3 linked regions of the Canis lupus familiaris genome follow. The protein of the gene in region 1 purifies or fractionates together with the protein of each later gene. This does not show direct contact. Links are inferred from orthologs where the notes say so. Each region holds a gene or a part of one and is shown on either strand. Other genes may lie near its edges. The genes, in order: ARID4A, BRMS1 and SAP30.

Region 1 (10,638 bases):
TTACAAAGCTGTAATCATCAAGACAGTATAGTACTGGCACAAACACAGACACGTGTTATCAATCGAACAGAATAGAGAACCTAGAAAGGGACCCTCAACTCTATAGTCAACTCATCTTCGACAAAGCAGGAAAGAATATCCAATGAGAAAAGACAGTCTCCAACAAATGGTGTTGGGAAAATTGGACAGACACATGCAGAAGAATGAAACTGGACCATTTCCTCACATCATGCACAAAAAGAGACTCAAAATGGATTAAAGACCTAAATGTGAGACAGGAGTCCATCAAAATCCTAGAGAGAACACAGGCAGCAACCTTTGTGACCATGGCCCCAGCAACTTCTTACTAGACTCCTCCCCAAAGGCAAAAATGAACCATTGGGACTTCATCAAGATAAAAAAGCTTTTGCATAACAAAAGAAACAGTCAAAGAACTGAAAGACAACTGACAGAATGGGAGAAGATATTTGCAAATGATATATCAGATAAAGAACCAGTATCCAAAAATCTATAAGAATTTATGAAACTCGGGATCCCTGGGTGGCGCAGCGGTTTAGTGCCTGCCTTTGGCCCAGGGCGCGATCTTGGAGACCCGGGATCAAATCCCACATGTCGGGCTCCCGGTGCATGGAGCCTGCTTCTCCCTCTGCCTATGTCTCTGCCCCTCTCTCTCTCTCTCTCTGTGACTATCATAAAAAAAAATAAAATAAATAAAATAAATAAATAAATAAAAAAGAATTTATGAAACTCAAATAAAAGAACAAAGAACAAATAATCCAGTCAAGAAATGGGCAGAAGACGAGCAGACATTCCTCCAAAGAAGACATACAAATGGCCAACAGACACATGAAAAAATGCTCAACATCACTCAGCATCAGGGAGATACAAATCAAAACCACAACGAGATACCACCTCACACCAGTCAGAATGGCTTAAATTAACACATCAGGAAAGGAAAGATATTAGCAAGGATGTGGAGAAAGGGGAACTATCTTACACTCCTGGTGGGAATGAAAGCTGGTGCAGCCACTGTTGAAAACAGTGAGGTTCCTCAAAAAGTTGAAAATTGAACTACCCTATGACCCAGCAGTTAAACTGCTGGGTATTTATCCCAAAGATACAAATATAGTGATCCGAAGGGGCACCTGCACCCCAATGTTTATAGTAGCAATGTCCACGATAGCCAAACTATGGAAAGAGCCCAGATGTCCATCGATAGATGAATGGATAAAGAAGATGTGGTATACATATACAATGGGCTGCTACTCAGCCATCAGAAAATGGCATCTTGCCTTTTGCAAGGACGTGGATGGAACTAGAGGATATCCTAAGCGAAATAAGAGAAAGACAAATATCATATGATCTCACTCATGTGGAATTTAAAAAACAAAACAGAGGATCATAGGGGAAGGGAGGAAAAAATAAGACAAAATCAGAGAGGGAGACAAACCATAAGAGACTTAATCATGAGAAACAAACAGTTGTTGGAGGGGAGTGATGGGGGAATGGCATAACTGGATGATGGACATTGAGGACATGTGATGTAATGAACACTGGCTATTATATAAGACTGATGAATTACCTCTACTTGTGAAACAAATAATATATGTTAATTGAATTTTATTTATTTTAATTAAATAAAATTCAATTAAAAAGAAATTAAGCAATTTTAATTTTTGTAAAGACTATCAGGTAAATTTAAACTGTGTTTCTAGCCTCATCTTTTTTCTTGTGTAAATTTCTCCTCAAGCAGGTATTTGTTTAATAAGGAGAATTCTTTATTCATTTATGTCTTGTTTTTATACTTGATAACTGCACCTGAACATAGAATTTTATGGCCATAATTTCTCATGGAACTTACTACACTGTTGGACATTACCTAACTTTTATTTTATTTTTGAAAATTTATCTATTTATTTATTGGAGAGAGAGTGAGAGTGCGCAAATGTGTTTGAGCATGGGGCTGGGTGGGGCAGAATGAGGGGAGAGGGAGAGAGAAAATCTCAAGTAGATTCTCCACTGAGTGCAGAGCCCAACAAGGGGCTTGATTCTGGGAATCTGAGATTGTGACCGGAGCCAAAATCAGGAGTTGAATGCTTAACCGGCTGAGCCACCAGGTGCCTGGACATCCACTAACTTTTAAATCAAATGTATTTAAAATACCAACTTTTATGTATTAAAACTATTTTTAGTAAGAATTTATGAAATGTTTGGTACAACTGTAATAAATACCTAATTTGCAGTTGATGGGTTTATTTTGTTTACTTGTTTTTGGAAGAAAATTTGATTTCAAGTCAGTGCCTTTTTTTTATTTATTTATTTATCTATCTATTTATTTATTTATTTATTTTTTTAAGTCAGTGCCTTTTGAAAAAATACTTTTTACATATACTGGATAATGGTCTTATTTGAATTCTGCAAGATCATAAATACTGGAAATGAGGTGTCGGTCTAAGGAGAAAATATTGTGATTATGAGGAACATGAGGGATAAGCAAAGCATAGGCGCAGTCTAGCAGAAGGTGTTTTGGGGTTTTTTTCCCATACTTAGAAGTCTTTAAAAATAATTTTTGGGTTACTGGACTTTTTTTTTTTTTTTTTTTTTTTTTTTTTTTGAGTTAACTCATTGGCAGTTCTAATTACCTTGCAAAGGCAAGGCTTTTTAAATTCACATGGGGAAAAACTGCCATCTTTTTTTTTTTTTTTTAAGGATTTTATTTATTCATGAGACACACACACACAGAGGCAGAGACATAGGCAGAGGGAGAAGCAGGCTTCCTGCAGGGAGGCTGATGTGGGACTCAACCCTGGGACTCCAGGATCACGCCCTGAGCCAAAGGCAGACACTTAACCACTGAGCCACCTAGGCATCCCAAAAAACTGCCATCTTTTGATTGGAACATTTAGTAATGATCCCTATTAACCCTACACTGATTATTCACTCTATATTGCTAAGTTGTGAGGCTTAGAACTTTGACTTAGTTTCTTTACATTTGTTAAAACTCACAGTACTCTAATGCTATTAAATCATTCTGAATGAATGTATTAAAAGATTTTATTCTCTTTGATTGCCTTTTGGTTTTTTTATTATATATTTTAATCAACTTCATGTTCATGGATTCTGGCTGCTATGTTTTAGTGATTAAAATTCTTAAAGAATACATAATTTTAAAGGACCTGTTGCCCTCTAGATGGTGAATACTCAATATTTATTGGCTGGTGGTTGCTTTGCTTTGATTATGGCTTTGAAAGACGAATCTATTTTTTTTTAATGGTTTTTTTTTTAAGATTTTTTTTTTAATATTTATTTATTCATGAGAGATACACACACAGAGAGAGAGAGGCAGAGACACAGGCAGAGGGAGAAGCAGGCTCCATGCAGGGAGCCTGACATGGGATTCGATCCCGGGTCTCCAGGATCACACCCTGGGCTGCAGGCAGCGCTAAACCACTGTGCCACCAGGGCTGCCCTTTGAAAGACAAATCTAATTGTTCTTTTAGAATGTAGAAAAGCAGTACTCTGAAATTATAATAATTTATATGGATGAAAGATATTAGTGTTTTGTTTATTTCTCCATAATTTTGCTAAATTTTAAATAAGAATTTTCCCAAACATTGGTTTATAAGTAGTCTATCAGGGCAGGGAATATTTTATTAAAACCCATAATATATTTAACTGCAGCTAAGACTTTGACATTATAAGAAGAGATCATTAGATTTATATAATTAGTAAAAAGTAACACTTAAATAGGTATTTGTAGGAATAGTTTATTTATTTATTTATTTTTTTTACATGAATGTTTCCATTGTTTCCCTACACCCAGGAACCAATTTGTGGTTATTTATCTAGTTTCCTTCCTTAAATAATTTTCATTTTCTTATTTTCAGGGGTTGCAAAGTCTTATTTACAGAGGCCATGCAAGAAGGGCAAATGAGAAAAGCAGGCTAATGTGATAGAAGAAGGGATGGTGGGCCTGAGACAAAATAAAATTCTATGAATCATTTAAATATATATAAATTTCTTTAAACTGCTGTGTTCTCAAAACAAAAAACTTCTGCCATGTGACTTTGGAACCTCTAGTTTGTCTTCATTCAACAATAACAAATTAGAACATTTGTATGTGGTTATTTTTATTTTTATTTATTTTTTATTTTTTTAAAGACTTTATTCATAGAGGCACAGAGAGAGAGAGGCAGAGACACAGGCAGAGAGAGAAGCAGGCACCACGCAAAGAGCCTGACATGGGACTTGATCTCGGGTCTCCAGTATCACGCCATGGGCTGCAGGCGGCGCTAAACCGCTGCGCCACTGGGGCTGCCCTGTGGGTTATTTTTAAATAATAAATATGTTTGTAATTATTGTGCTTATCTATCAATACATTTGTGTGGGCCACATGGTACTTTGATGTATTTTTTTTTTTTTAAAACTAAACCAAATGAGGTGAAAATGTTCTTACTGGATTCCTGAACCTTTTCCTCATGGCTAGTCTTAATCCCTATGTTGATATTCAAGGGTAGGGTTGGAGTCATAGATGAGTGAAGGGTAAAGATTGTGTATCTTGACAGTTGTATCAAATCAACACTATAAAAAATATGACTTAAAGTCTAGCATTGTAGAGTTTGGAGGAAATTCATATTTTCCAGCTTTGTTAAAAATTCCTTTATGTTGGGTTCATAAAACAACAACAAAATATGAATTAAAAAAGACTATATATCTCACCCTATTCACTGGTCTAAGTATTTATGCATTTTGCCTTTACAGCCTGAGGAAGAACTTGATCCTGAAGAGAGGGACAACTTCCTCCAACAGCTTTATAAGTTTATGGAAGACAGAGGTATGTATTTGATGGTCATTATTTAAAAGCAGTCATTTCTTTTACAACTTTACATTCTAGGTTCATGAATTATTTTTGTTAGAATCATGGGTATATGGATTTGGATTTCAAGTAAAGCCTAAGGATCAGTTAGAGTTGGAATAAGTATTTGGAATTAAAAAACTGTTAATATCTATTTTGAGCAGAAAATACATAGGTTGTATGGGTATAATTATACTTAGTCTACTTGGGACTTCTAAAACCAAAAAATATAATAATATTTCAGTGATGGAAGGTGAACAGTCATAATATAATCCACATACCCATTAGTTATTAATGCTATCTTTGCAGCAAGTAAACTAGCCTGATCCTCGGTCTCAACAAATGAAACAAAATAGACCAATTCTTACCTAAATTGAATAGGGTTTTTAATAGACTTAAATTGAAATACAGCCTTTATAAATTATTCCTTTTGACATTACATTAGTTCTGGAAAATCCTCCAATAAACTGGTCCTAGGCATTCTGTGACTTTGAGACATCATCCTTCAGATTACTGCTAACACTCTTAACATTTGTGTTCAAGCAATGAAAATGAATCCATGCCCTAAATTGTACCCTTTCCATTGTGTATGTTCTTGCCCAGGCTTCTTGAACCAGAAGCATTGTTGGCTGCACCTTGCAGTTGTAAGTCTTAGTTGTACCTAATTCAGTCACAGGTGATTTTATTAGTTGTGAGAGACATGATGAGTCATAGATATAAATCTAAAGACCGGGATCCCTGGGTGGCGCATGGGATCCCTGGGTGGCGCAGGGATCCCTGGGTGGCGCAGCGGTTTGGCGCCTGCCTTTGGCCCAGGGCGCGATCCTGGAGACCCGGGATCGAATCCCACATCGGGCTCCCGGTGCATGGAGCCTGCTTCTCCCTCTGCCTATGTCTCTGCCTCTCTCTCTCTCTCTCTGTGACTATCATAAATAAATAAAAATTAAAAAAATAATAAATAAATAAAAAATAAATCTAAAGACCATCATAGTGCTGTATAAAGAATATAGAGAATATTTTGTGTTGTCTTACATAATTTAAGGTTCTTTAAATATATGCTTCTGATTAATAAAACTTGGGAAATTAGAAATTGGAAAGTTTTGTATCGATAGCCTTGTAATAGCATTTTCCACTTAAATAAAAATATTTATCCTACTTTCATGTTAAAAAGGTACTCCAATCAACAAACCACCTGTGTTGGGCTATAAAGATCTCAATCTCTTCAAACTCTTTAGACTGGTTTATCATCAAGGTGGATGTGACAATGTAAGTATAGATATAATGAAAAGTTAAATTATCTATGTTGCAGTTATATGCACTGTAGGTGATAAACACATTTTCTTAATGAACCTAGAATATTAGTGTAAAGATTATTTCCTTTTGTAAATGTTAACAAATAAAAACTTAATTTTCCAGATTGATAGTGGTGCTGTATGGAAGCAAATTTATATGGACCTTGGCATTCCTATTTTGAATTCAGCTGCTTCCTACAATGTAAAAACTGCTTATAGAAAGTAAGTAGTATAGTTTATTCATCAAAGAATACATATTACAGGAATATTTTCCATTTAATTTGTTAACAATTAAACAAAAACACATCAAGGAACATTTAGTTAGAGAAAGTATATAAAAAGTTTTAGGTTAATAGATATTAGTGACTGAACGTTATTTCATCACACCAAGTCTACTTTATTCCATTTCTCGTGTTGTCTTGATTTCCTTTTCAAAGTCTGGGATGTGGTACGTTAATAGTATGAAACGATGATACATGTTTATAGAGTTATATTACTTATGTTGAATAGCCTTCATATCAAAACTATTATAGCTTTTTCAGGAAGAAATTTTATGATCAGTATTTCTGTTTATAATCCTGTATAAAGCACTGAGAAACTAGTAATAGAAAAAGTACTTTAAAAAAAGTCTCGAGTATTACTTTATAAAAATATGTGTGTTTAATAATATAGTATTTAAGTTAAATGTAAAGACAAAGATTTCTTAAAATGAAACTGTTTGTTTAGGTATCTCTATGGTTTTGAGGAGTACTGCCGTTCTGCAAATATTCAGTTCAGAACTGTCCACCACCATGAACCAAAAGTAAAAGAAGAAAAAAAAGACTTAGAAGAATCAATGGAAGAGGCTTTAAAAGTAGATCAAGAAATGCCTTTAGTGGAAGTGAAGAGTGAACCTGAGGAAAATATTGATTCAAACAGTGAAAGTGAAAGAGAAGAAATAGAATTAAAATCTCCAAGAGTAAGTACTTAATATTAGTTTTACCTGGTTTATTTTAAACATTAAATTTTTATTATGGACATTTTCAGATCCACACAAAAATAAGCCAGTGAACCTAGTTTATTTTCCAGTATTGAGTTGTGCATTAGGCAGACTAGCCTGGCTATTTTTTTCTAGATATAGCACATCTTCTTTCTTCTACCTAAAATACCATTCCTCCTGTTGTTTTCTATTTATGTCTGTTCAGATCATTCTCATCTGTGGTCAGTCTCACATATTTACTTCCTTCAAGTCTTACTAAAAGTCTCCCTTAGTATATAATTCCTTTGTAGAGATTGTCATCCATTGTTTTTGATCATTGTTGAATGATGTCTACATGGTAGGATTTATCAAATTTTAGGAGAAAAAATTTTTTCACACTATCAATGGCATTCATTTACTGTTACATCTTTTTTTTTTTTTAAGTTTTTATGTATTTATTTGAAAGAGAGAGTGAGAGAGAGAGAGAGGGAACAGAGGGGATGGGCAGAAGAAGATGCCCTGCTGAGCAGGGAGCCTGATGCAGAGCTCAATCCTGGGACTCCAGGACCATGACCTGAGCTGAAGGCAGACACTTTGCCAACTGAGTCACCCAGGTGCCCCTGTTACATCTTATTTTTTAGTGAAATCATGTTTAGTCAAAGAAGAAATGAAATTACCTCTTTTAGTTGCTCAGAAACCATTTTTTTAAAACTGTCCATTTTGACCATCATCCAGTAAATGGAATCTTCCAATGAATTTCATGAAACATTCAAATTGGTTTGCTTCATTTCTTTTTAATTTTTAATTTTAAAAAATTGTGGTAAATACACATACTATGTATCCTCTTAACCATTTTTAAGCATCAGTTCTGTGGCATTAACTATATTCCCAGTGTTTTGCACTCATCACCACTGTCCCTTGCCAGTACCTTTTTCATCTTGCAAAACTGAAACTAGCCATTAAACAATAACTCCCCATTCCCCTCTACCCAAGATTGTGGCAAAACCATTCTACTTTGTCTCTTTGAATTTGACTACTCTAGGTACCTCATATATATGGAATCTTACAGCTTTGTCCTTTTTTGACTGGCTTATTTCACTCAGTATAATGTCTCTCAGGTTCATTCCTGTGTATGTGTCACAATTTCCTTCCTTTTTAAAACTGAATATTCCTTCCTAAGACTGATTGTCTCCCATTATATGTATTTTGGACATACTTTCCTGTCATTAAAGATGTTCCTCATCTTTTGTAAATTATCTTCAGAGTACTACATAATATACATATACCATAAATTCACCTTCCTTAAAATTTTCTCCAATTTTTTATGATTACAAAAAGTGCTGTAATAAATATACTTGTAAAAATTCCTCCTCATTGGTCTGAATATAGAGGGAAGACTTCTAAGAATGGGATTTCTAGGGCACCTGGCTGGCTCAGTCAGAAGAGTATGTGACTCTTGATCTCAGGGGTGTGAGTTCAAGCCCCACGTTTTGAGATTACTTAAATAAGTAACTTAAGAAAAAGGTATATAGGTCTAAAGTCTGATAGATAGCAGTTGTTTTCATTCATTTACCTACACGTATTTAAAGAAAAGTTGCTCTGTGCATAGGATATAGAAGTATATAAGACCATCTCTGCCCTCATGGAATTTACATTCTAGTTCTTTGTGAAAAGAAAAATACACTTTTTTTCTAACTTTGAAGTTTATTTTTTTATTTTTTAAAGATTTTATTTACTCGTGAGGGACGGACAGAGAGAAAAAGAGAGAGAGGCAGAGACACAGGCAGAGGGAGAAGCAGGTTCCATGCAGGGAGCCTGATGTGGGACTTGATCCTGGGACTCTGGGATCTCACCCTGAGTGGAAGGCAGACACGCTTAAGCCCTGAGCCACCCAGGGGTCCCTAACTTTCAAGTTTATTTTTTTTATTTTTTTATTTTTTTCAAGTTTAAATAGCACATAGGAACTAGGGAAAACATTTGTTATACTGAAATACTAGTTGTTATTTTAGTACTCTCTAAGTTGTTGGTCCCCCCTTTTTTATTTTTAAAGATTTTATTTATTTACTCATGAGAAACACAGAGAGAGAGAGAGAGAGAGAGAGAGAGAGGCAGAGACACAGGCAGAGGGAGAAGCAGGCTCCATGTAGGGAGCCTGATGCAGGACTCAATCCTGGGACTCCAGGATCATACTCTGGGCCAAAGGCATGCACTAAACCTCTGAGCTACCCAGGGATTTCCCCCCCTCCCTTTTTTAAAGATTTTATTTGTTGGCCCCTTTTCTATCCTCACTTTATTCCAAGTAGAGGGAAACTGCCAGTGTGTAGCGGTGGACCTGAAGGAGAATTTAGGAGAGAATGAAATGGCTCAACAGTTTCACAGTCAGTTGAGCATACAAGAGGCTAAATGAAAGCTTCTGGGGAAGAACAAATTACTACCAGCCCAGTGAGCTCCAAATACTTATTCAAAGAAATCAGCTCACCTGTTGGCCATGGATGCATTTTAGTCCTTTTATTTTTAAAATTTATTTTTATTTTTTTTAGAGAGAGAGCAAGAATGCTGGGGTTGGGAGGTAGGCAGAAGGAAAGGGAGAGAGTATCTCAAGTAGGCTCTACACCCAGTGTAGAACTGGACGTGGGGCTCAGTCTCACAACCCTGAGATCATGACCCGACCTGAAATCAAAAGTCAGACACCCAACCGACTGAGCCACCCATGCACCCCTATTCAGTCCTTTTAAAATGTAGTCACACAGAAATACAGTGATAATGTAAATTTTATCTTAAAAATGGTAGATTAGACATCATAGAACTTTTAAAGAGCCCATAATTTAGGAGGCTGATTTATTTTTAAATTATTGTTAACTTGCATCATTGATACTTAATTATTTTAGAACTTTCAGTGTAGTCAAGAAATATTAAAAGTGTGATAAAATAATGCCAAGTGAAATAAGTCTAACAAAGATAAATACTGTATGATTTCATTATATGTGGAAAATAAAAGCAAACAGAAACATACTCGTGAATAGAAAGGACAAACTGGTGGTTGCCAGAGGGAAAGGGGTGTGGGGATAGACAAAATAAGTAAAAGGGATTAAGAAGCACAGACTAACAGTTATAAAATTAATCATAGGGATGAAAAGTATGGCATAGGGAATATAGTCAATAATATTGTGATAACTGGTGACAGGTGGTATCTACATTTATGGTGAGCACTGCAGAATGTGTATAATTCTCAAATCACTGCGTTGTATACCTGAAGTTAATATAACATAGTATGTCAACTATCTTTCAATTAAAAAATTTATTGTAGTCAAGAAATATTAAAAGTGAGATAAAATAATGTAGTCAACAAAGGAGGAAATTTTTATTTTTTCTGTAGCATGTAGCCAAGGATCATAGTAGACATGGACATAATTAATTTACATGGGTTGAAAGGAAAAGCACGCAGTGGTTGATGGGCTGTCATTGTCACGTCTCAAGACAGAGAAACAGCTAGTCATTGCGAAGGTTTGTGAAGGTTTAAGAAGCATTTTCTG
Region 2 (9,651 bases), on another chromosome or scaffold:
AAAACATTCTGTAAGCTTCGTACAAATGTGAAGTATTATTAATATTATTACAGTATTATTGTTATTATTATTAACAATCTGGGGTGGGTGAGCAGTCGGAGAGCAAAGAGTATGAATGGGGCAGACTGAGAAGTCTGAGTACTTAACAAAATGGACTTTTTGGAAGAAATCAGATAAAGGCGCTGAATTTAGTTCTTAGTTTTGGGGCAGAAAACTAAACTTCCTGGTTCTTCCAGGCCTCCACCCTCGGGAGCTCTGGGGAAAGGAAGGGTCTGCAGGTTCCGTGCCAAATCTGTGCCGTCCAACAGACTGGGTTATTTGCCTACCAACGACCATGTGTAAATAAATGAGTGTTCACACCTACAGCTGGCTCCATGACTCTCCTGGACCTGGCGGGCAGAGGGGGGGGGTCGCAGCTTCTTCCCTTCCCCGGGCGGGGGGCACAGGGGTGGGGAGGAGGTTGCTGCGGCCCAAGAGGCGCCGACCGCACAGCAAGGAAACCACGGGGGTCTTTTCCGCCAGCCGGCCGAAACCCTGCGTGAATGTCGGCCGGTTGCTATGGAGACCGGCCCCGCGGTATCCCAGCATGCTTCGCCGCGAGCTGCCTAATTGTGAATTTCGCGACCGGCGCCTCCTGATGACGTATGCGGAAGTGCAGCGGGCCCCGCCTCCCGGAGTAGAGGGACTGGCGCGTCGTTTCCGGGAGCCCGGCAGCCGCGGGCACCTCTCAGGGAGTTTCAGAAGTCAAGCTGGAGGCCCCCTCCCCACGGTGCGTAACGCTCCTCAGGGCACCTGGTTCGGCCTCTCTGGCCAGTCGGTCGGAGCTGGGCCAATCAGGGCCGAAGCGGAGACCTAACCGGCCGGACGCGTGCGGCGCCGCGGGGCCGCTGTTGGCCGCCGAAGAGGCAGTGACTCCCCCGCCCGCGGCGCCGGCGCAGACGGGAATGGAACGGAGCGGGAGGGTCCTGGCGCCCCGCGCCGCGCAGGGGTCTGGGTGGGCTCTCTCCAAGGACAAGAATCGGCCTTCCGTGGAGGTCCGCCCCGAAATGCTCACTTTCTAAAAATATAAATTGTGTGTGTACAGCGCCTTATACTTTGCTTTTCCATCCCCTACGCCTTGCAATCTTTAGAACGCTCAGAGTAGCAATGGTTATCCTCTTGGTTAGCCTCTTTTTGCACCTGGGGTAAGGAGGGGAGGTTGTGATTTAATGTTGCTCCCTCAGTAGAATCAGAGACAGCTGGAGACAAAGGAAATATATATAATTTTACAATGAAGAGGAATTGCGAAGTTTGGGAACTGCAGGAACTCAGTTCCTGCTTAAGAATGGGAAAGATGAGGTTGGTTTGGAGAACTGAGGTTTTCGGCTCAGGTTCACTTGTGAAATCATTGAAGAATGAGACTAAACTGAGCCGCGAGACAGTTAATTATACACAACTCAAATTGTGTCAAGGGCTCCCCGCAGGGAAAATTTATGCGGGACTCCCGGATCCCAGGACCACGCCCAGAGCCAAAGGCCGACTCAACTCCTGAGCCACCCAGGCGTCCCAGTGTGTCAAGGAAAGTTAACAGAATACTTTGGGTTTGCTACCACTACAGGGTCCTGGGGCAATCAAGAAGTAAAAGCTGCCCTGAAAAAGTGTGCTTTGTTTAATTTGTATTTGCATATCCACCAGTTGTGAAGTGAAGTAAGTACTGTGCTGGGTGAACGAGGTGCATGTGCATCCCCATCCTGGTAAGGCTTACAGCCTGATTGGATAGACAGACGTGAAAACGGCAAATAGAGAGGAGATGTAAACAAGTAGAGCTTCCTGGAGGGAGTGGTGTCTATATCCATCTAAAGGACTACAGTACCCTGCTCAGAGAAGTTGGAAGAACATCACAGTGAAATCGAAGCCTTCAGTAGGTAGAGATTAACTGTTGGGTGGACTGTTTAGTCTTCCTCATAATTGATCTCTTGGCAGCATTTGGCACTATGATCGTACTTCCTTCTGAAATTCTTTCTCCCCATGACTGTGCTTCTCTTCCTCTGTTTCTTGCTAATTTCCTTCTCCTTTGCAGGGCTTTCATCACCTGGCCCTTTGGTGGCCCTGGGAGTTCTATCTTGGACCTCTTCTCACTCCACACATTTTGCCTTGCTGGTTGTGCCTTCTCCCAAGGCCTGAAGCACTCACTATATGCCGATGACCAGATCTCTGCACCCCAGATTTCTCTCTGAGGCTTAGACTCATGTACCCCCACCTCTGCCCCTTCCCTCATTCTAGAGTCTTTGCCCATGCTATTCACTCTGCTTGGAATGTTCCCTCTCCAGCCATCTCAGCTCATCTGTCTGCAAGTCCTCCCTATTGCTGCAGCAAGGATCTTCCTCTGCAAGCCCTCACTGTTGGAGCAAGCTCCAGGTTCCAGTGAGATGCCTCTCCCATATGTCCTCCAGTCTTAACCGTTCTCATACCACAGTACGGTCTGCTTATTGCCTGTCTCCCAGGAACCTACAAACTCCTTGAGATCAGAGACTGTGTCTGTCTGCTCCATCGTGCCCAGCATCTGACCATAGCATCTGACAGTACCTGGCATATATTAGGTCTTCAATAAATCTTAGATGAGTAAATAAAGAATGATTAATAGTGTTCATTGTTCCTGAGAAGTCAACGAAGATAAGCACTAAAAAATACTGGCATTGGACACAAGGTGGACATCGGTTGATGCCACAGAATTCACTTCAGCTGAGGGCAATCATAGAGATATGGAATGGAACCTCTGGTTAGTGAAAGAGTAGGAACAGCCAGAGCCTTGGGAAAGGTAGCTGTGAGGTAGGAAATGGGGAGTGGTTAAGTGGAATAGGGCGAGGTTTTGTGTTCTGCTATTTCTAAATGGGAGACAATACCCGAACACATCTAAAATTTCATGGGTAGAAGCTGTCAAGAGGAAGGATTGGAGAAACAGTGAAGATGGGGGTACTGGTAATATGAGGCTCCAGAGAAAGCAGAAGGACATAGGCGTTGATCCAGAACACAGCGAGAAAATGAGGATTGCAGAGTGTTCTCAGGATGAGAAGTGGATGGCATTCCAGCTGAAAGGATCAATGGACGGGGTGGGGAGTATGAAGGCATGGCGCACTTAAGGATGGTGGGGTAAAGGAGCTGGCTCAGTACTTCAAGTCCAGTCTGTGCAGGCCCTTAAACACCCCAGCCACGAGTGCGGGCCCAGTCCCAGAGGCAGTGGGGAATCCATCCTTGGTGTTTCCCAGCTTCTGGACCATCACCTTGGCCAGCATTCCCCAGATTGGGATCACCAACAATGTCCAAGATTGTGAGCGTTTCTGTGGCTCCCAGGCTTCTGGGAGATATTTGGGCAGGGCTTGGTTTGACTCCCCACACGGTCACTTTCTCACTCAGAACTGAGGGTGATGATAAGTGATGGCTCCCCTCCTCCCAGAGCCCAGATGCCCATCCAGCCTCCAAGCAAAGACACAGAAGAGATGGAAGCAGAGGGTGATTCGGCCGCTGAGATGAATGGGGAGGAGGAAGAGAGCGAGGAGGAGCGGAGCGGCAGCCAGACTGAATCGGAGGAAGAGAGCTCAGGTGAGCCCCCAACATGTGCACACAAGCGTCCGCCCGCTTTTCCTCAGCCAGAGCTGACTGGCCTCTTGTCCCAGAGATGGACGACGAGGACTATGAGCGGCGTCGCAGCGAGTGCGTCAATGAGATGCTGGACCTGGAGAAACAGTTCTCGGAGCTCAAGGAGAAGTGAGCGCGGGGCGTCTAGGGCTGGGTCTTTAGGCCCCCTGGGGTGAGGAGGCAGCGGGCCTGGTGCTGGGCAGGGGTAGCCAAGGGCCTGACACATGGGACCTGCCATGGAGCAGGCGCTTAGCCACGTGTCTGATGAACAAACATGTGCTGCCTTTTCCCTCCCAGGTTGTTCAGGGAACGGCTGAGTCAGCTGAGGGTGCGGCTGGAGGAAGTGGGGGCTGAGAGAGCACCTGAATACACAGAGCCTCTGGGGGGACTGCAGCGGAGCCTCAAGATCCGCATTCAGGTGGCAGGTCTGTGGGCTGTCCTGTGCTCTGGGGTGACCCCAGGCCTCCTCGCATCTTCCTCTGCCAGAGCCCATGGCTGTCTGTTCCCTTCTTTCCTCATTCCTGCCCAGCTCTGCTCCTGGCTCCCCCTTTTGGACACATGAGACCCTGGCCAAGCAGGGCTTCCCATCTCCCTCCCTCTACAGGGATCTACAAGGGCTTCTGTCTGGACGTGATCCGGAATAAGTACGAATGTGAGCTGCAGGGAGCCAAACAGCACCTGGAGGTGAATGTGACTGCGGGCTGGGCTGGGGGAGGTGAACGGAAGGTGGCTTGTCCCTGCCACCCTGCTGAGCACCTTCACCCTTTCCAGAGCGAGAAGCTGCTGCTCTATGACACGCTGCAGGGGGAGCTGCAAGAGCGGATCCAGAGGCTGGAAGAGGACCGCCAGAGTCTGGACATCAGCTCTGGTGAGGCTGCACTAGGCACTGTTCTAGCCATGCCCCCACCCCTCCCACCCACCCCCCATCCTGCCCTCCCACACCACCTGCTGCTCTGCCTACACAGGGAGCATGTAGGAGAGCCTGCTTCATGGTGTCACTCTGGGGCCTAAATGGAACCAGGCACAGAAAGGACACAGCCCAGTGCCTGGTGCACAGAGGAGGCTCAGAAAGAACGGTCCCCCTGCCCTCCTTGGCCCCTGCTCTCTTTCCAGAACAGGAGGTGTCATTCTGACACACCCACACATACAATAGCCACAGTTCCCTCCGTGTCCACAGCGCCTGTGTTCACATGGCATCCCAGGGAGGCCAGAATTGTCATTGTCACACTGCCCACTAAACAGATGAAGGAACCAGGCTCACAGAAGTACAGTGACCTCTTCCCCAGGGTTGCATGGCTCTGCCATCTAGCCTTGGCCTCAGCTTCCAAGCCCCTGGCCCAGGGTGCTCTCCACTGGCCTGGGAGGGAGAGGAGGGGTAGGGGCTGGTCTGGCTCACGTGATGGACACAGCTACAAGGGTGGGGTGTCCAGGGATGGCCAGCTCTTTGATCCTGACTCTGGGTCTGGGGGCACAGAGTGGTGGGATGACAAACTGCACGCCAGAAGCAGCGCAAAGACCTGGGACTCCCTGCCACCCAGCAAGAGGAAGAAGGCACCTCTCGTTTCTGGTATCCTTCCACCCACGGCGGCCTGACCTGGGCAGGACAGCAGGGTTAGCTCCAAACCAAGGGAGGGGGTGGGGGGACACGGAAGGCAGTCATTTATGGCAGTTTATGGTCATTTGGCATCATGTGGCCATGTCCAGGCAAATCCAACTGTCAGGAATTTCCTGTGAGGCCCTGGGTCTCTCCTGGGCTGGATAGAGAAACAGAAGTATCCATTTAGTGACTCCCCATAACTTCCTGAGGGAAGTCTCCTTTGAGGTTCTTTTGGCTTTCCCACAATATTCCCAACAGGTCCTAGATTTTCCTACCAACACCACGTCACCCCGCCTTCTCTCACTTCCCACCCTCTTCTTGGAATGCCTTGCTGCCTCTCTGTGCCTGTTATCTCCTCTGTGAAGCCTCTCCTGGTTTCCCCCCAATAGCTATGGCTTCTCTGTCCTCTGCAACCCTGTGGCCTAAGCTGGGGGTACCCACATCCCACACAGTAGTTGCCCAGCCTCACATTAGGCATGAGCCACTTTAGCCCAGGGCTTGCTGAGCCCTCATCCTCCCTGGCAGAGCCCACCACAGATGGGAGCAGGATCCACATGCCCTCCACCTGCACCCCCGGGTACTCCTGCAGCCTTCAGGCTCCCAGGACACTGGCCGCCCAGTGATGGCAGTCAGGGCAGGCAGGGAGGGAGGAGTCTGGGCCTTGAGGACTTGTGGGTTGAACAGGAGGTCAGGGTGTGGAGGCATCAGGTACAGAGCCCAAGAGGACAGAGCAGACCCTCCCACTCTGGAAGGGAGTGGGAGACCAAAGGAGGGTCGTCTCTAGAATGGAAGAGACTGTGAAGTCTGTGTAGAAGGGGCCAGATGAAGGGATACTAAAGGGACAGGGAATAGAGGGATCAAGGTCCCCTAGTGGGGGACCTGGGTTTTGACCTACTGACCTTTAAACTGGAGGGAGGAGTGAGGAGGAACTAAGGGGAGGTAGGGGGTGAGGCTCAGTACGCTTCACGGACTCATGAGGCCGTAGGCCCTGCCCCAAGAACCTGGGATCCAAGAGGCAGGAGGCAGAACCTGAGCTCTAACCAGGGTCCTCAGCCTCCTGGCCTCCCCACACTGCCTCCCCCAAGTTTTGGAGCTCCCAAGCGGGAGGCCTGTCACCTGCCCTCTCCACTGGGCTTCCTGCTTCCTTGACCCCCCATTGCAGGTCCTTACATCGTGTATATGCTGCAGGAGATCGACATCCTAGAGGACTGGACAGCCATCAAAAAGGTGGGGCCAGTGCCACCTGCTTCCCTGGGACAGGTCCCCATCCCTGAAAGCTTTGGTCCCTGCGGCCTCACCACACACGGGCTTCCTGAGGGCCTGGGAGCTCTGCTCAGCCCTCAGCACCTCCTGCCTTCTGCCCAGGTTCCTTAGCTTTGCTGTCAGCTCACAAGCTCCCCCACACACACCCATTTGTTTTTAGAGAGGGAGAGAAAGTGCACACGTGCATGCAAGTGGCACAGGGGTGGGAGGGCAGAGGGAGAGGGGGAGAGAGAATCCTGAGCAGGTGCTGTGCTGAGCACAGAGCCTGATGTGGGGCTTGATCTCACGACCCTGAGATCATGAGCTGAAATGAAATCAAAAGTCAGACACCTAACCGACTGAGCCACCCAGGTGCACCCCACACAAGTCCCCTTTTGCCTGAGGCTTCCCTGCAGGAGGGACCTTTTAATCTGTCATTCCCTTCCTCCTTCCAGGGCAGGTTTTGATGGGACGGGAGGGAGGGAGGGAGGGAGGGTGAGAGGGAAGGCGGCTGGGCTGCCCTGGCCTGGCCTGGCTTGGCATCTGTCAGGAGACCATGTCAGAGCTTTGCCCAGAAAGGGGCTTATGCTCCCCACGCATCTTGATGCTGCACTGACCCAGCAGCGCCCCCGCCCCAGAGAAGCTGATGTGGAGGAGGCTACTTGCCAAGTTGGAGGCAGGCTCTCAAGGGGGGCTTTTCTTCTTACCCCCCCAGGCTAGGGCAGCTGTGTCCCCTCAGAAGAGAAAAGCAGATGGTAAGAACCACAGGAGCTGTTCTGCCTCCTGCCACCACCTCCCCCAGCCCAGCCTCCTGGAAGGAAACCCAGAAAGAGTCAGTGGTTATGTCAGCTCTGTGGCCCCAGTTAGAATGGTTTGGGTTTGAGGGCACTTTGGGGGTTTGGGGAAACGGAGCCGGGGTGGGGCTAGGGGATGAAGCTCCCTGCAACCAGGACTAGTCAGGGAGGGCTGGAATGCTAGGCCCCAGCAGCGGGGTGGCCCTGGTGAGCCCAGGGGTGAGGGCTGTAGAGCTGCCCTGGGCCAGACCAAGGCTGTTCCTCTCAGCACCCCATAGGCACTGGTGTTCCCCTCTTGGTTCAGCTTCTTACTTGCGGTGCTTTTTCCCCTTCTGGTGTCCCTCTAGGACCATGACCCTGCTCTTCAGAGCCAAGGGCCCCCTTGGAGCAGCTGGCAGCAAACCCAGGATTTGCGTTTTCCTGCTGTAGGAAGGCAGATTGACAAGCCCCTCGGGGTCTGTCCGGCCAGCTTCCCAGTGCTGCTGCATGGCCTTCCCCTCCAGCTATCACTGGTCTGGACTCCTCTGCCCTCCTCGGGGCCTGCACACTGTGTGGCCCAGAGCTGCCTTAACCAGACAAGACTGTCTTCCCTGTCCCCAGTGAGCCCACCCCCCCACCCCCACGAGATCAGCCTTCTCCTCACCATCCCAGACAAAGAAGATGTGGCTCCTCTTAAGCCAAAGCAACATTCTTCCTGCTGACCTTGGACTAGTCACTGAGCTAGTGAGCTGGGCCCCACTTCCTGGGAACTTTGAACCAGAAATTATATTTTGGGGGGGCCTGTCTCTCCTGGCCGTTGTTGGAGATGAGAAGGCAGGCTCCCCAGGTCTTCTCAAGGAGGTTCTTGATGTCTCCCAGATTTCAGGGACTGGAATTAAAACCTTCCCTGGGACCCTAGCATGACCTGTGTGTGTCTGATTTACTTTGCGAGGGAATCAGGGCTCCCCTGGGGAGTGCCTGAGTCAGGTGGGCTCTCCTGGAGTCCCTGGTACCTCCTCTCTCTACCTGGCAGGAGCCCACCTACTCTGAGTTGGGGTATGGGGGGGGCCCTCCCAGCACACCTCCCAGAGGTGGGGGAGTGAGCAAAGTCTGAAGCAACATGTGGCACAGGCCGATCATGTGTCGGGGGTGGGGAGGGTTGTGTGCTCTGTGCTTGGAGCCTGGGTCATGTCTGCACCTGCCCCAGTCACTTGGCAGATTGGTAAGGCAGGCTGGCGGGGCCTGGGAGTGTAGGAGGCAGCTGGCAGCAGCACCATGTGCTGACGACCTCACAACCAAACTCCCCCACCCCCATCCCATTTAGCGCCAAGTGTTAGAACCACCCCCAGAACCTCAGTTAAGCAAAGGGGTTAGTTTCCAAGGAGACACAGCATCCTTTCTCCATGGCAACCGAAAATCCAAAACCCAAGTTAGGCTCGAGAATGAGTCATCTGTGACCAGTAGGGGGTGCCCTCCCACTGGGCTGACGGGGGGCGGGGAGGGCACACAAATGAGCAGTTGACCACAAACTTAATTAAAGGTGCCCCATGGGCAAACTTGGGCCTGTGGGACCCAGATGGGCCCAGCTTAACCCCTTCCCGCCTGCTCGTGTGCCTCGAGGAGGCTGGCGAGGCTTCAGGATGCGCTGTGTGGAGGTGGCAGCCCCACAGCCGGGGCTCGTGGAGTGGCACTGCACGGAGAGGACCCTTGCTCCCTGAGGCTGGGCCTGAACACGGAGGAAGCGGGCACTGCCCGGGCTAAGGGGACACACAAGAGTTAACTGGCGGGGCGTGACAGGGCGAACCGCCCTCAGGAAGTGTTACTCACTGCTGGGAATGTGAGCGCTCTTGCCTTGGGGGCTGGATTCTCTTCCTGAGTCCTGGGAGAAACCGGGAGAAACCAAAGGAGCTCCCAGCCATGGAAACCCCTGGGGAGCCAGGGGCTGGACCTCTTGGAGCCCCCAGCCTCTCCAACTTCACACCTGGGCACCCGGAGAGAGAAAAGTTAGTGAAGTTGGAAGGGCAGCCCCGTGGGACAGGGAGGGATGGCAGAGCAGGGTCTGTCCCAGGGCAGAGGTGGGGGGAAAGGGTTGGGCAAGGGTCCCACCCCCTGGGCCCCTGCTCAGATCTGGTGCCCGCCCTTTAGGCCAGCCCAGGACCCACTGTATGACGTGCCCGGGGCCGGTGGGTGGCAGACAGTTGGGCCCCAGCGGCCCGGGCGCACCGTGAGCCTGCGGGAGCGCTTGCTGCTCACGCGGCCCGTGTGGCTGCAGCTGCGGGCCAGCGCGGCGGCTGCTCTGCATGTGCTGAGGACCGAGCCCCCGGGGGTGAGTCTGGCCCCTGATCCTGGGACTAGCCGACGGAGGCGGGGCGGCGGGGGGGGGGAAGGCTGGACACCGAGGTCCCGAGCCTCCGACCCCTGTCC
Region 3 (11,262 bases), on another chromosome or scaffold:
GGATCCCTGGGTGGCTCAGTGGTTTAGCCCCTGCCTTTGGCCCAGGGTGTGATCCTGGAGTCCCTGGAGTCCCGGGATCGAGTTCTACATCAGACTCCCTGCATGGAGCCTGCTTCTCCCTCTGCCTGTGTCTCTGCCTCTCTCTCTCTCTCCTCTCTCATGAATAAATAAGTATTTAAAAAAAATAAAACTATAATATAATAGAATTACATAGAGAGATGTATATACTGAAATATATAATTTTTTTTCTAGCAAGAAACACAAGAAATTGTTAACACTGGTTGCTTTTAGGGACAGGGATTTGAGAAGATAAAAGGAAACAGACTTTTTGCATATTGAACCTTTTGCATTATTTGAATTTCCTAATCATGTTCATGTTAGGATTATGGGTCAATTTGTACATTTTTACAAATTAAATTATTTAATGATTTATTTCAAAGTAAAACCAGGAAAATTCAATCATGTTAAAAGCTCCAGAGGGAAAGAAGGCAGGGAAAACTACTTCTTAAAGAATCAATACAAAATAAATAAATAAATAAATAAATAAATAAATAAATAAATAAATAATAAAGAATCAATACCTATAAATGACAGGGCAGTCAAAACGGTTAAAGACCTGATGAGAGTTCCTTATAATGCAGTCGGTAAGAAACTTTGATTATTTTTTGTAACACACAGCATTTTAACATTTCAAATGTTGAGTGATGGCACTGTACCAGGACATGTTACAACTTTAGGAATTTCATTTCATTTTTGGAACAGCGACAGCATTCATGCATCCAATATAATATAAAAGGGCTTATCATTGTTGTTTGACAATGCTTCTCATGTGACTTTACATAGCAGGTAAACTACATTAATTAGTCAAGAGACTCTATTTAGGGTTTGATTTTCTGGGAATCTGTTGAAAATCAATGAACGAATGAACAAACAAGAGAACTGCCAGCCAGCCAGCCAGCCAGCCAAACCAACCAACCAACCAGCCAACCAACATACCAACATCTCAGAAGGTTTCAAGGCATGTGCCTACAAAGGATTACGGATCATTACAAAACTGAAAACTTCAGTATCTGTTTCTCCAAGGTGGCCCTAGGAGATTCTACAGGAGGTTATAGAGTCACCAAAATGTAGCTCCTTTAATATTGAGAAGTTTTCACTCTCTTACTTAGGTAAAGACCGGATATAAATGAATATAAAAACCTTGTTGTAATGGGCAGGTAAAGGGAAAAAAAAATTAAAGAATCATGTTACAACCATTTCAGAAAGCAAATATTTTAATGATATTAACAACCTCTCTATAACTTAAGTTTCATAAATCTGTATTTCCATATCATCTACTCTGAGGTAGGATTACCATGAATTTAATGGATTTAAGGTTCAGAGTCCCTCACTTGGACAGGCCCTTTCATTTTTATTTATTATTTTTTTTTTTCGGACAGGCCCTTTTAAATGCTTGTGCCTAATTTTGTATTTAAATTTTAAATACTTTTTCTTAAGGGAGACTCCACAAATTATATGTTTAAAGCTCCCCAAAGTCTGATTCCAACATAGGCTATGAATTACACTTAAAGGAAGGAATTCCTACCTGCCCTGAATACGAAGATGTGTAGAAACAAACGAACTATGGTTGCTAGGAAAATTTCTGTCTGAACAATAGATTCACTGAAGATATACTTTACATCAGGCATTGAAAATTTTCAGTTCACCTGCAACAGAAATGCCTTCTATTTGCCAGAGGTGAATCATTGCCTCTTGTGCACTAAATCTGTACTTTTTCTCTAATGTTATTGAGGCATGCATTTTAGTCTGTTTGCTATAATAGAACACCATAGGAATGCCTGGATGGCTCAGCAGTTGAGCATCTGCCTTTGGCTCAGGGCATGATCCTGGGGTCCTGGGGTCGAGTTCCCCATTGGGCTCCCTGCAGGTAGCCTGCTTCTCCCTCTGCCTATGTCTCTGCTGCTCTCTGTGTGTCTCTCATGAATGAATAAAATCTTCAACAAAACAAAACACCATAGACTAGGTAGTTTAAAAACAACAGAAATTTATTTCTCACAGTTCTAGATGCTGGGAAGTTCAAGACCAAGGCATTGGCAGGTTTATATCTGGTGAGTCATCCTGCTAGTTCATAAACTACTGTCTTCTCACTTGGTCCTCACATGGCAAAAGGAGTGAGGGAGCTCTCAGAAGCCTCTTTTATGAAGGCAGTAATCCTATTCAGTACCTCTCTACCTCATGACCTAATCACCCTCCAAAGACGCTACCTCAGAATACCATCACATTCAACATTTGAATTTTAGGAGGGAGGACATAAACATTCAGTCTTTGGCAGCCTGTATTGTGTGCTTGTGAAGCTACTCTACCAGACAGTGAGCCCCAAAATGGCTAGGACTCTGTTTCAATTATTTTTATATCCTAAGGCCTAGAAAAAATCCTAGTAAGCAATACATGTTTAATTGGATCTTTTAAAATACTGTATTTTGTGTACAGGAAGCCTAGCCACAATTTGTCACTTTAGTAAAATTCATATGAAATGGATACCTTGCTAAACCATTAACATATACATGAAGTAATTTGTTCATATTTTGTAAAAGATACATTATAAACTTTTAAGAGCAAGGACCAAACAGTATTATGAGTTATTTTAAAAACAAACAAAAGCACAAAAAATATGGAAGTCCAACATCCTAATACTACATTTGTTTCAGATTTTCCTAATAAATAAAAACCTACAAATACAACGGACTCCACCTTTAAACCATTCCCAGATACAATTCCTTGGCCTCTCTCCTGAGATAGGAACCCCACCCTGAAGTTGGACTGTATCCATCCTGTCCATATGTTCTCCTTTTTCACCACTTAAGAAAATACATGCACAAACAACAGATACTAGTATTCTGTTTAAAAGATTAAGCCAGCATTATCTAACAAAAATATGTGAACCACATATGTAAACATTTAAACGTTCTTGTAGCCACATTTAAAACAACAGGTAAACTTTAATGTTATATTTCATTTAAACCAGTAAATTCAAAATATTATCATTTCAACATATAATCAATATAAAAAGTATCAATGAGCCATTCATTATAGTTTTTTAAAAACTTCTAGTACTAAGTCTTTGAAATCCTGTCAGCAGTTCTTACTTGCAGCACATCTCAACTTGGGTTCTAAGTTTAGATTTCACAAAATTTAGATAGAAAAAAAAATGTATTCATGTATCTAAGCTGTTCCAAACACACTTGAAGTCTTTACAATAACTGAAATCTGTTTTTTAAATTTAAAGTTAAATTAACAGTTTTTCAGTAGAAATAACCACATTTCAAGCTTTCAATAGGCACATTGGGCTATCAGACACCCTACTGGAGAGTGCAGCTTAAAAAACAAAACACAAGACGCACCTGGGTGGCTCAGTGGTTAAGCATCTACCTTGGGCTCAGGTCACGATCTCAGCGTCCTAGGATGGAGTCCCGCATGGGGCTCCCTGCAGGGAACCTGCTTCTCCCTCTGCCTGTGTCTTTGCCTCTCTCTCTCTCTGTTTCTCACGAAGAAATAAAATCTTAAAAAATAAAAAGGGTAACACAACATACTTACCATGCAGCATCTTCCTTTTGCTCATTCAATTTACGTAATAATATCTTAACGTTTTGTTTTTGTTTTTGTTTTTTGTTTTTCCCTTTGCCATAGCCTAGAACTGAAAAGCACAGACGGAATGGATGGCTTTGAATTTCAGGGCAGATGACATTTAGGTTTTTTTAAAAAATCATCTATCACTAAATTCACTCAGCAAGCCTGAAAGAACTTGCAAAAGAACCTGGTTCGTATTTTTATTTAAGCCAAAGGACGGCTAAACAGGACACATCCGATACAGTCACAGTGACGCGCAGCAACCGGCAAAGGCGCACGCGCTCCTATCAGCCGCTCCATTCCCCGGCCCCGCCCCCTACAAGCACGCGCCCACGGGCACGCACGCGCACTCACGCACTCTACACGCACAGGCGCGGGCGGATACACACACACACACACGCACGCACGCACTCTACACGCACAGGCGCGGGCGGATACCCCAGGAAATGCGGGTTCTTTCTGGCCTTTCACTCCGCAGAGAGAACGCCGGGAAGTTTCCGAGGAGCACTCACGCTAACTATATCGGGGCTCCACGTCCCCCTGGACAGGGTCCTGGATCCCACTTTTCTCTAGGGCCTTTAGAAGAGAAACGGTGAAGGTTGGGTGGGGGTGGAGGCGGAAAGAAGCCGCTCCACCGCAGGAAGCGGCCAACTTTGATCGCCCCAAAATGAAACCCGATCTTCGCAGGAACGTGCAAGGATTTAAAAACGGCCTTCAGCTGAGGCACTTGGGAAGCGGCCCTGTCACGGTCGAGGTCGGAAGGGCGTTTTTGCCTCAGCTGGTGTGTCAATGAATGGAACTGTGACCCGGGACCTGCGGCATCTCCCGGACCCGAAGAGCGCCAGCTTCCCCGAGTTCTCCTTGGTTTGGGTGTCCCACAAAAGCATGGCCACACCAAAAATTCTTTTTCCACAGTAAGAAAACGGCCCCGAAACTTTTTCACGCCGCACCTTCCCTCCTAGCTTCCCGCCCAGAACATTTTGCGCCTCGCCTCAGGAGCGGGGTGGCCGCTTTGTCTAGTAGAACGCCAACACTGCAGAATCCCGGTAGCGAAAGACGGAGCAACTTCCTGGGAGAGACTAGAAGCGAGAAAACATCACCACCCCTAACCACACGCCCCTGTTTTCCCACTGACTTAAAATAAATAAATAAATAAATTAGCAGCCGAAGCCCTGCCCGTCGCCGCGCGATGCATGCTAGCATAAGTAGTTCCAAGGCGCCCAGTTCGGGGTGGAACTCAGAGTGATTCCCCCTCAAAGAACTACAATTCCCATGGTGCCCTGCCACACAGTGGAAGGGGCGGGGCAGGAGAGGGCTCGTCGCGCGTGCGCAGGTCGGGGGGCCGGAGGGAGGCGGAGGCGCCAGGGTCCAACTGCTGAAGCGTCTCCATGTGACAGTGACCGGAGTCCTAACTCCTGGCGCCGCCCGGTTCTGGCTTCTGACCCCAAACGCTGTCCCCCATCCCGGCGCCAGCGGACAACAGCAGACCGGGACGCCTGGTGTGTGGCGGTGCCGCTGGAGGAATCGCCCCGGCGGGGTCAGGTGTCTGAGGGACCCCGCGGAGACCCCGGAGTCTCCGCAGAGAGGGGGAGCGGCGAGCCGAGCGGGGGTTTCTGTCGGCACGCGGAGACATGAATGGCTTCACGCCTGAGGAGATGAGCCGCGGCGGGGACGCGGCCGCCGCAGTGGCCGCCGTGGTCGCCGCCGCCGCCGCGGCCGCCTCGGCCGGGAACGGGGCAGGGGCCGGCGCCGGGGCTGAGGTGCCGGGTGCCGGGGCGGTGTCGGCTGCTGGGCCCCCGGGGGCGGCCGGGCCGGGCCCCGGACAGCTGTGCTGCCTGCGGGAGGACGGAGAGCGGTGCGGCCGGGCGGCGGGCAACGCCAGCTTCAGCAAGAGGATCCAGAAGAGCATCTCCCAGAAGAAGGTGAAAATCGAGCTGGAGAAGAGCGTGAGTGACGGCGGGACGGCCATGCCCTGCCCTGCTCTGGGGCTCCCGGAGCGGTGCCGACCGGGGTTCAGGGGCGGACGGTTCGGGGGTCCCCTAGACCTGGCTGTGGCGCGAGCCCGTCGCGTGGTCTCGGGTAGGACGCGAACCACAAAGTCGCCGCAACTCGGACCGCCTCCCCCGCAGACCCACGCCAGCCGGCCGCGGGTCCGCTGCTCCCCCCGCCCCCCCCCCGCCTCCTCTCCCTCGCGTGCCCACCCCCACCCTTCCTACCCAACCCCCGCGCACCCCCACCCCGTTCCGGGTGTCCGCCCTGCTCGCCGTCCAACCCCTTCCTCCTTCCCTGAGGTCGGGACACGAAACAAAGAGCACCGCGGCTCGGAGGGCCCGGAGTAGTTTTCTTGCAGCCTGTCCGCTCCTCCTTTGTTTTGCTGCCCAAGCTGGCGCGTGGCCCCGGGGAGCAACCCCCGGCTGTAGGCAAAAGTGTAGTCCTGCAAGCGAGGCCCTGGTGCCGCGGTGGAGACCGACTCCTCTGCTCGTCCGCCGGGTTGCGGAGGGAAGAGAGCCGAGCTCACCCCGCGCGGTGCAGACCGCCGGGCTGGTGGACGCCGCCAGCATCCAGCGCAGCTGCCGGGAATGTGGGGAGCCCGCTGCCTCTGCGGCGCTGCCACCCCTTCGGCAGCATCCGGATTTCCTTTACCGTCCTTGTTGTACACGTCCGTTTCTTGTGTTTCTTTGACCATCTGTGAGGTTTTCAGAAACAACCATTGGCACTTTGCGGAGTTTTGGCTGGCGGTGAATGGATAACAAGATGCCAGAACCTAGCATACGCCCTGCATAATTTTAACTTGGACTTCGTTTACAAGTTAAATTTCAAAGCCTTAGTCTTTAATCGCTTGTTGTTGTTGTTTTTTAAAGGAGTTTAAACTGTTAATAATGCAGCCCAGTATTTCAGATGTTACCATACAGCGCTCAAGACTACATTTAATTGAAGCTTTTGCAAAGTTTGTGATCTATTATGCCTGTTAAAGAGTTCTTCAGTCATGCTTGGGAGACACTTCTCAAGTAAACTTGAATAGTTTCACATTGCCTTTGGTTGAAAAAAACGTAATACAGACAAATACATTCATTAAATACTCAGAAGCTTGTAATTCAGATGTAAATATAAGTAGTATATGAAATCGGTAGCTCGTTTGTAAAAATGGATAGTTTTGTATCTGGATTATAATTTGAGTACTGAGAAAGGATATGAAGCTACTAAAATGTGCTCTTTAGAGAAAATACTGTCAGTAGCAGAATTGTGGGCAACATCATCTTTCCACTTATTAAAAAAACAGCGTGACCTAACAAATCTAATTCACCCTCACTACAGTTTAATTAAAAAATCCAGACAATTGCAATTTCTCATTCTGCTTGTCTGCTTCCCTTCCTTCCTTCCTTTCACTCCTCCCCACCCCACTCTCCAATCCTCTTAACCCTATTGTCAGACACGGTATGTTCTAACTGAATACAGGACTTAAGCATAGAAATATGCTGTTGTCTTAACAATGGCCTATTTTGACTTTTTATTTTTAATAATTCACTGTGCCCTATGTATTTTACTAATACGTAGACACGTTACATAATAATAAGTAGTCTGTGAAACTTTTTTGTTTTAGGCAAGGCATCTTTACATTTGTGATTATCATAAAAACTTAATTCAGAGTGTTCGAAACAGAAGAAAGAGAAAAGGGAGTGATGATGATGGAGGAGATTCACCTGTTCAAGATATCGATACGCCAGAGGTAAAGTTTCTGTATGTTAAATGTAAATCCTAAGTATTCCATTCTGAAACTTCTATTAAAAGATAGGAACAAATTTTAAAAATACTTAATGCGAAAAATCTGAAAATGAAAGCAAAATTAAATATAGCCAATTAATAGGCAGTTGTAGTTTGACTTATGTTTTCAATTCACAATGCTTATACCTCTATTGCCTTCTTTTTTTGCTCCCAGTTCTCAGTATTTACCTTCAAAAGATTGAAGTGCTCTATATATTTGTAGTTTTGATTATGTAAAAGAAGTAATGGAATGGAATTAATTAAATAATGTAATTTTTGTTACTTAATTACATTTTTGTTGTACCAAAATTGAAATGCTATTATGCATATCAAAGATAACAATTTAAAAATTGCATGAACTAATTCTTACATGTTTATTTTTTCTAGGTTGATTTATACCAATTACAAGTAAATACACTTCGGAGATACAAAAGACACTTCAAACTATCAACCAGACCAGGACTTAATAAAGCACAACTTGTTGAGGTATTTATGAAGTTTTAAATGAGCCTGTTTATATAAAAAAGTTATTAAAGGCTAATGAAATTGTTAATGTAGTACGTATAACAATACAGCTCAGTTAGAAAGATCAGTTAATAAAAAATCTATTGTGGAAGAATCTAGTTTCCTAGAAATGTTTGTCTGTCTCTTAAATTGCTTTATGTAACAACCACTCAGTGGATTGTATGTAGCTTTCTAAATATCTTTTAATACTGGCTTTCAGAAATAGCGGGTAATAATTTTTAAATTCTCATTCTAGAAATCTGTTGGTTTTAAAATTCCACTCAGGAAGCATTTTTTGAATACCTTATTGAGGCATAATAAAAGAAATTGATAAGCTTTGTTGTCTTTATTATAAATTTTTTGAGTTTTTGATGGATTAGGTCTACAGATTAGCCCATAAATAGTATTCCTATAACTTGTTGATTTAACGATTTCAGAATTTGTCTTTGGTGATGTTAGCTTGTTTTATTAGAGGCATCTATGCCTTCACATCTGGAAGATGCAAAGTTTTTTTTTTTTTTTTAAGAGTTTATTTATTTACTTGAGAGAGATCTGAGAGAGAGAGCATGAGCAGGGAGAAGAGCAAAGGGAGGAGACACAGACTTCCTGCTGAGCCGGGAGCCTGATGGCAGCTCAGTGAGAGGGACTCGGGACTCTGGTATCATGACCTGAGCTGAAGGGATACATTTCATTAGCTCCACCACATAGGCACCCCAGATGCAAAGACTTTTATCCAAGGTTTTATTTAGTTTGCTTTGATATAAAACTTTTAGTCTTTTTGTAAATTTTGAAATATGTGTGTTTTCAGGAGTTAATAAAGAACCAAGAAATCTGTGAATCAAGGCATTTACAGATTTATGTATTTGTACTTTAATCATTTTAAGTAAAAATACTTAATCTACTCAACAGAATAGAAATGTAAATATATAAGTCAGTTTTCTCATATTTTTCAGCTTGTGTTTAGTAATGCAGTGTTTTTTAAAATGCGCATATCGAATAAGGTAAAAGATACAGAAGGTACAATTCTTTGGCAGAATGCTTTTTTAACATCGTTAAGATATAATATACTGACTTTTTAGCCAGAATTTCCTCTTTCCTTCTTGCCCAAGCAACAAAAATTCAGTTTTTCTTTAAATTTGATTTAAAAAATATAGCCCTTTTTGGATTGTATAGTATATTAATAAAAGATAAACATGGGTATTTACTGTGATGAAACTGTATCTATATATATACAGATACTAATCAAGTGGAAGGTACCTTTGTTTTGGGACAAATGTGAACTCAAAAACTGATTATTTTAAATGTTACATATGAAGTACAATTGACTCTTGAACAATGCATTTTTGACTAGGGGCATAGTCAAAAATCTGCATATAACTTTTGACTCCCCAAAAACTTAACTACTTACTCATAGCCTATTATTGATTGGAAGCTTTTTTAATAACATAGTCTGTTAGCATATTTTATATGTCATATGTGTTATAGTTATTCTTACTGTAATCTCAATAAAGTAGGCTAAGGAAAAGAAAATGTTAAGAAAATCGTATGAAAGAGAAAATACATCTACAATACTGTATTTATTGAAAAAAAAGTGTGTAAGTGGACCCTCACAGTTCAAACCTGTGTTGTACAGGGTCAGTAATACATATTTTTTAAGTATACTAGTCACACCTGAAATATTTGATAATCTGATATTTAAAAAGTTATATTATTTCTAGAGTTACTTTCTTCTTTAGAAATGAGAAAAAAATCCAAATGGCCATGAATGTTAATAGTTCACTTAGGAATGATTCCAGAGTTAGGTAACTGTCTTCCTTAAATCTCTTAATTATCGTATGAATAACATTTTCATTAAGACTTTTTTTGTCTTTACATTCTAGATAGGCATATCAATACCCCTGTTTAGTCCATTGTACTTCTCTTGGTTTTGTAGTGTTAGATTAGCATAAAGAAAAAGCCAGAAAGCAGATAAACATTCTTCAGCGAATGTCTCTCTTTCCTCGCATTTTCTATCCATATTTATTCAGACAAACTTTCAAGGAACCTTAACAGAGAGTACTGCCAATGAATGAATGAATATAAATTGTAGCAAATATATTTGTAAGATATTCTATGGTTTGTTTCTACAGTACCAACAGTTTTTCAACTTAAATATTTATTTATCCTTTTCCTGTGAGTAGGGTCTAGATTTTGTTTTATTTCATTCATATTTAAAGTTTTAAAATATTTACTTTTTAATATAGATTCTAGTTATAAAATTTAAATAAATAAAAGGAAATAACACATTCTAATGTCTTTTTAATTGAGTAGGTTGGAGGGTCCTGTGAAATCACCCTCTCTCTTGTTCGTAATATCTTAATTATATGCTTTTCATCTTGTTGGTATTTTGTAAATAGTTTATTATTTAAAGGAAATAGCTCTTATAGCACTTTTTCTTTTGATAAAAGTGTTTTTTACCTAGTATAATAACTGTTAATATCTATAATTTAATTTCAATTTCAATTTTTTGTTTGTTTGTTTTGTTTTTTTAGATAGTTGGTTGCCACTTTAGGTCTATTCCAGTGAATGAAAAAGACACCTTAACATATTTCATCTACTCAGTGAAGAATGACAAGAACAAATCAGATCTCAAGGTTGATAGTGGTGTTCACTAGGAGAGGTGGAATTGAGACTAAGACTTGGATGTTCAGATGTTAAGACTGTTTACTGTTTTTTCACATGTAGAAATGTTCCTTGTGTATTTTTTTACAGAGGATTTTCTCTGGTTTTATTTTCTTTGTTTCTGACTCTAATAATTAGTTGGAAACTCGTGTAAAATGAGCTTTCCTAGATTAAAAAAATATTTTAAATAAAGGTGATTACTATTATAGTTGTTTCAGTGTATTTATTTTGTGAAATTTGATTTTTTTAAAACTAGTTTTAATTAAGAGTTTAATGTAAAGATCACTTTGTTCCCACATTTTATTTTTAATTTTAAATTTCAAGAAATGAAGGTTAAGAGAAGTAGCAAATGCAGCACATTTGCTTTCTCTGGGACAATCTCATTTGGAATTAAAAATTAGCATTATTTTTTAAAGTGCTTTTTGGTGATAACAGGTTTGAAAAATAGACTTCCACTGGAGTGCAGTTTCTTTTTTATTTCCTTTTTTTAAAATCATTACTTGATAAAGTTAGGAAGATCAAAGGATTTAATTTATATGCCTACCTTCTTCCAACAAAGACTAATGTGCCAGCAAAGATAAACACAGTGCTGAAAGTTGAAATAATGTAGAATTAGTTTTACTTGTTTCTTTAAGTTTTATCTTAGAGAAAAGGTGTTTATACGGCATGAACATAGAAGTTCTGCAGCACCCTTTAATTTTCAGTCAT

What was found.
Region 2: the proteins of ARID4A (region 1) and BRMS1 purify together in Homo sapiens (affinity purification with western blotting; 3 studies listed by BioGRID and IntAct, with this or other methods). This does not show direct contact. The link is inferred for Canis lupus familiaris from reciprocal best matches to the Homo sapiens genes ARID4A and BRMS1.
Region 3: the proteins of ARID4A (region 1) and SAP30 purify together in Homo sapiens (affinity purification with mass spectrometry; 5 studies listed by BioGRID and IntAct, with this or other methods). This does not show direct contact. The link is inferred for Canis lupus familiaris from reciprocal best matches to the Homo sapiens genes ARID4A and SAP30.

What each region holds. Positions count from the first base shown.
Region 1 is NC_049229.1:33,993,546-34,004,183, forward strand, and holds part of ARID4A (AT-rich interactive domain-containing protein 4A), read left to right. Parts: intron 1-4,761; coding exon 4,762-4,834; intron 4,835-6,026; coding exon 6,027-6,121; intron 6,122-6,271; coding exon 6,272-6,369; intron 6,370-6,873; coding exon 6,874-7,105; intron 7,106-10,638.
Region 2 is NC_049239.1:51,469,604-51,479,254, forward strand, and holds BRMS1 (breast cancer metastasis-suppressor 1), read left to right. Parts: upstream 1-619; 5' UTR 620-769; intron 770-3,393; 5' UTR 3,394-3,404; coding exon 3,405-3,579; intron 3,580-3,653; coding exon 3,654-3,744; intron 3,745-3,912; coding exon 3,913-4,040; intron 4,041-4,219; coding exon 4,220-4,299; intron 4,300-4,386; coding exon 4,387-4,483; intron 4,484-5,089; coding exon 5,090-5,182; intron 5,183-6,374; coding exon 6,375-6,439; intron 6,440-7,169; coding exon 7,170-7,209; intron 7,210-7,595; coding exon 7,596-7,603; 3' UTR 7,604-8,145; downstream 8,146-9,651. Other genes in the region: RIN1 (ras and Rab interactor 1), read left to right, coding at 9,145-9,230, 9,373-9,553. UniProt on the Homo sapiens protein: Transcriptional repressor. Down-regulates transcription activation by NF-kappa-B by promoting the deacetylation of RELA at 'Lys-310'. Promotes HDAC1 binding to promoter regions.
Region 3 is NC_049246.1:24,116,583-24,127,844, forward strand, and holds SAP30 (histone deacetylase complex subunit SAP30), read left to right. Parts: upstream 1-4,944; 5' UTR 4,945-5,258; coding exon 5,259-5,573; intron 5,574-7,228; coding exon 7,229-7,354; intron 7,355-7,776; coding exon 7,777-7,875; intron 7,876-10,424; coding exon 10,425-10,547; 3' UTR 10,548-10,762; downstream 10,763-11,262. UniProt on the Homo sapiens protein: Involved in the functional recruitment of the Sin3-histone deacetylase complex (HDAC) to a specific subset of N-CoR corepressor complexes. Capable of transcription repression by N-CoR.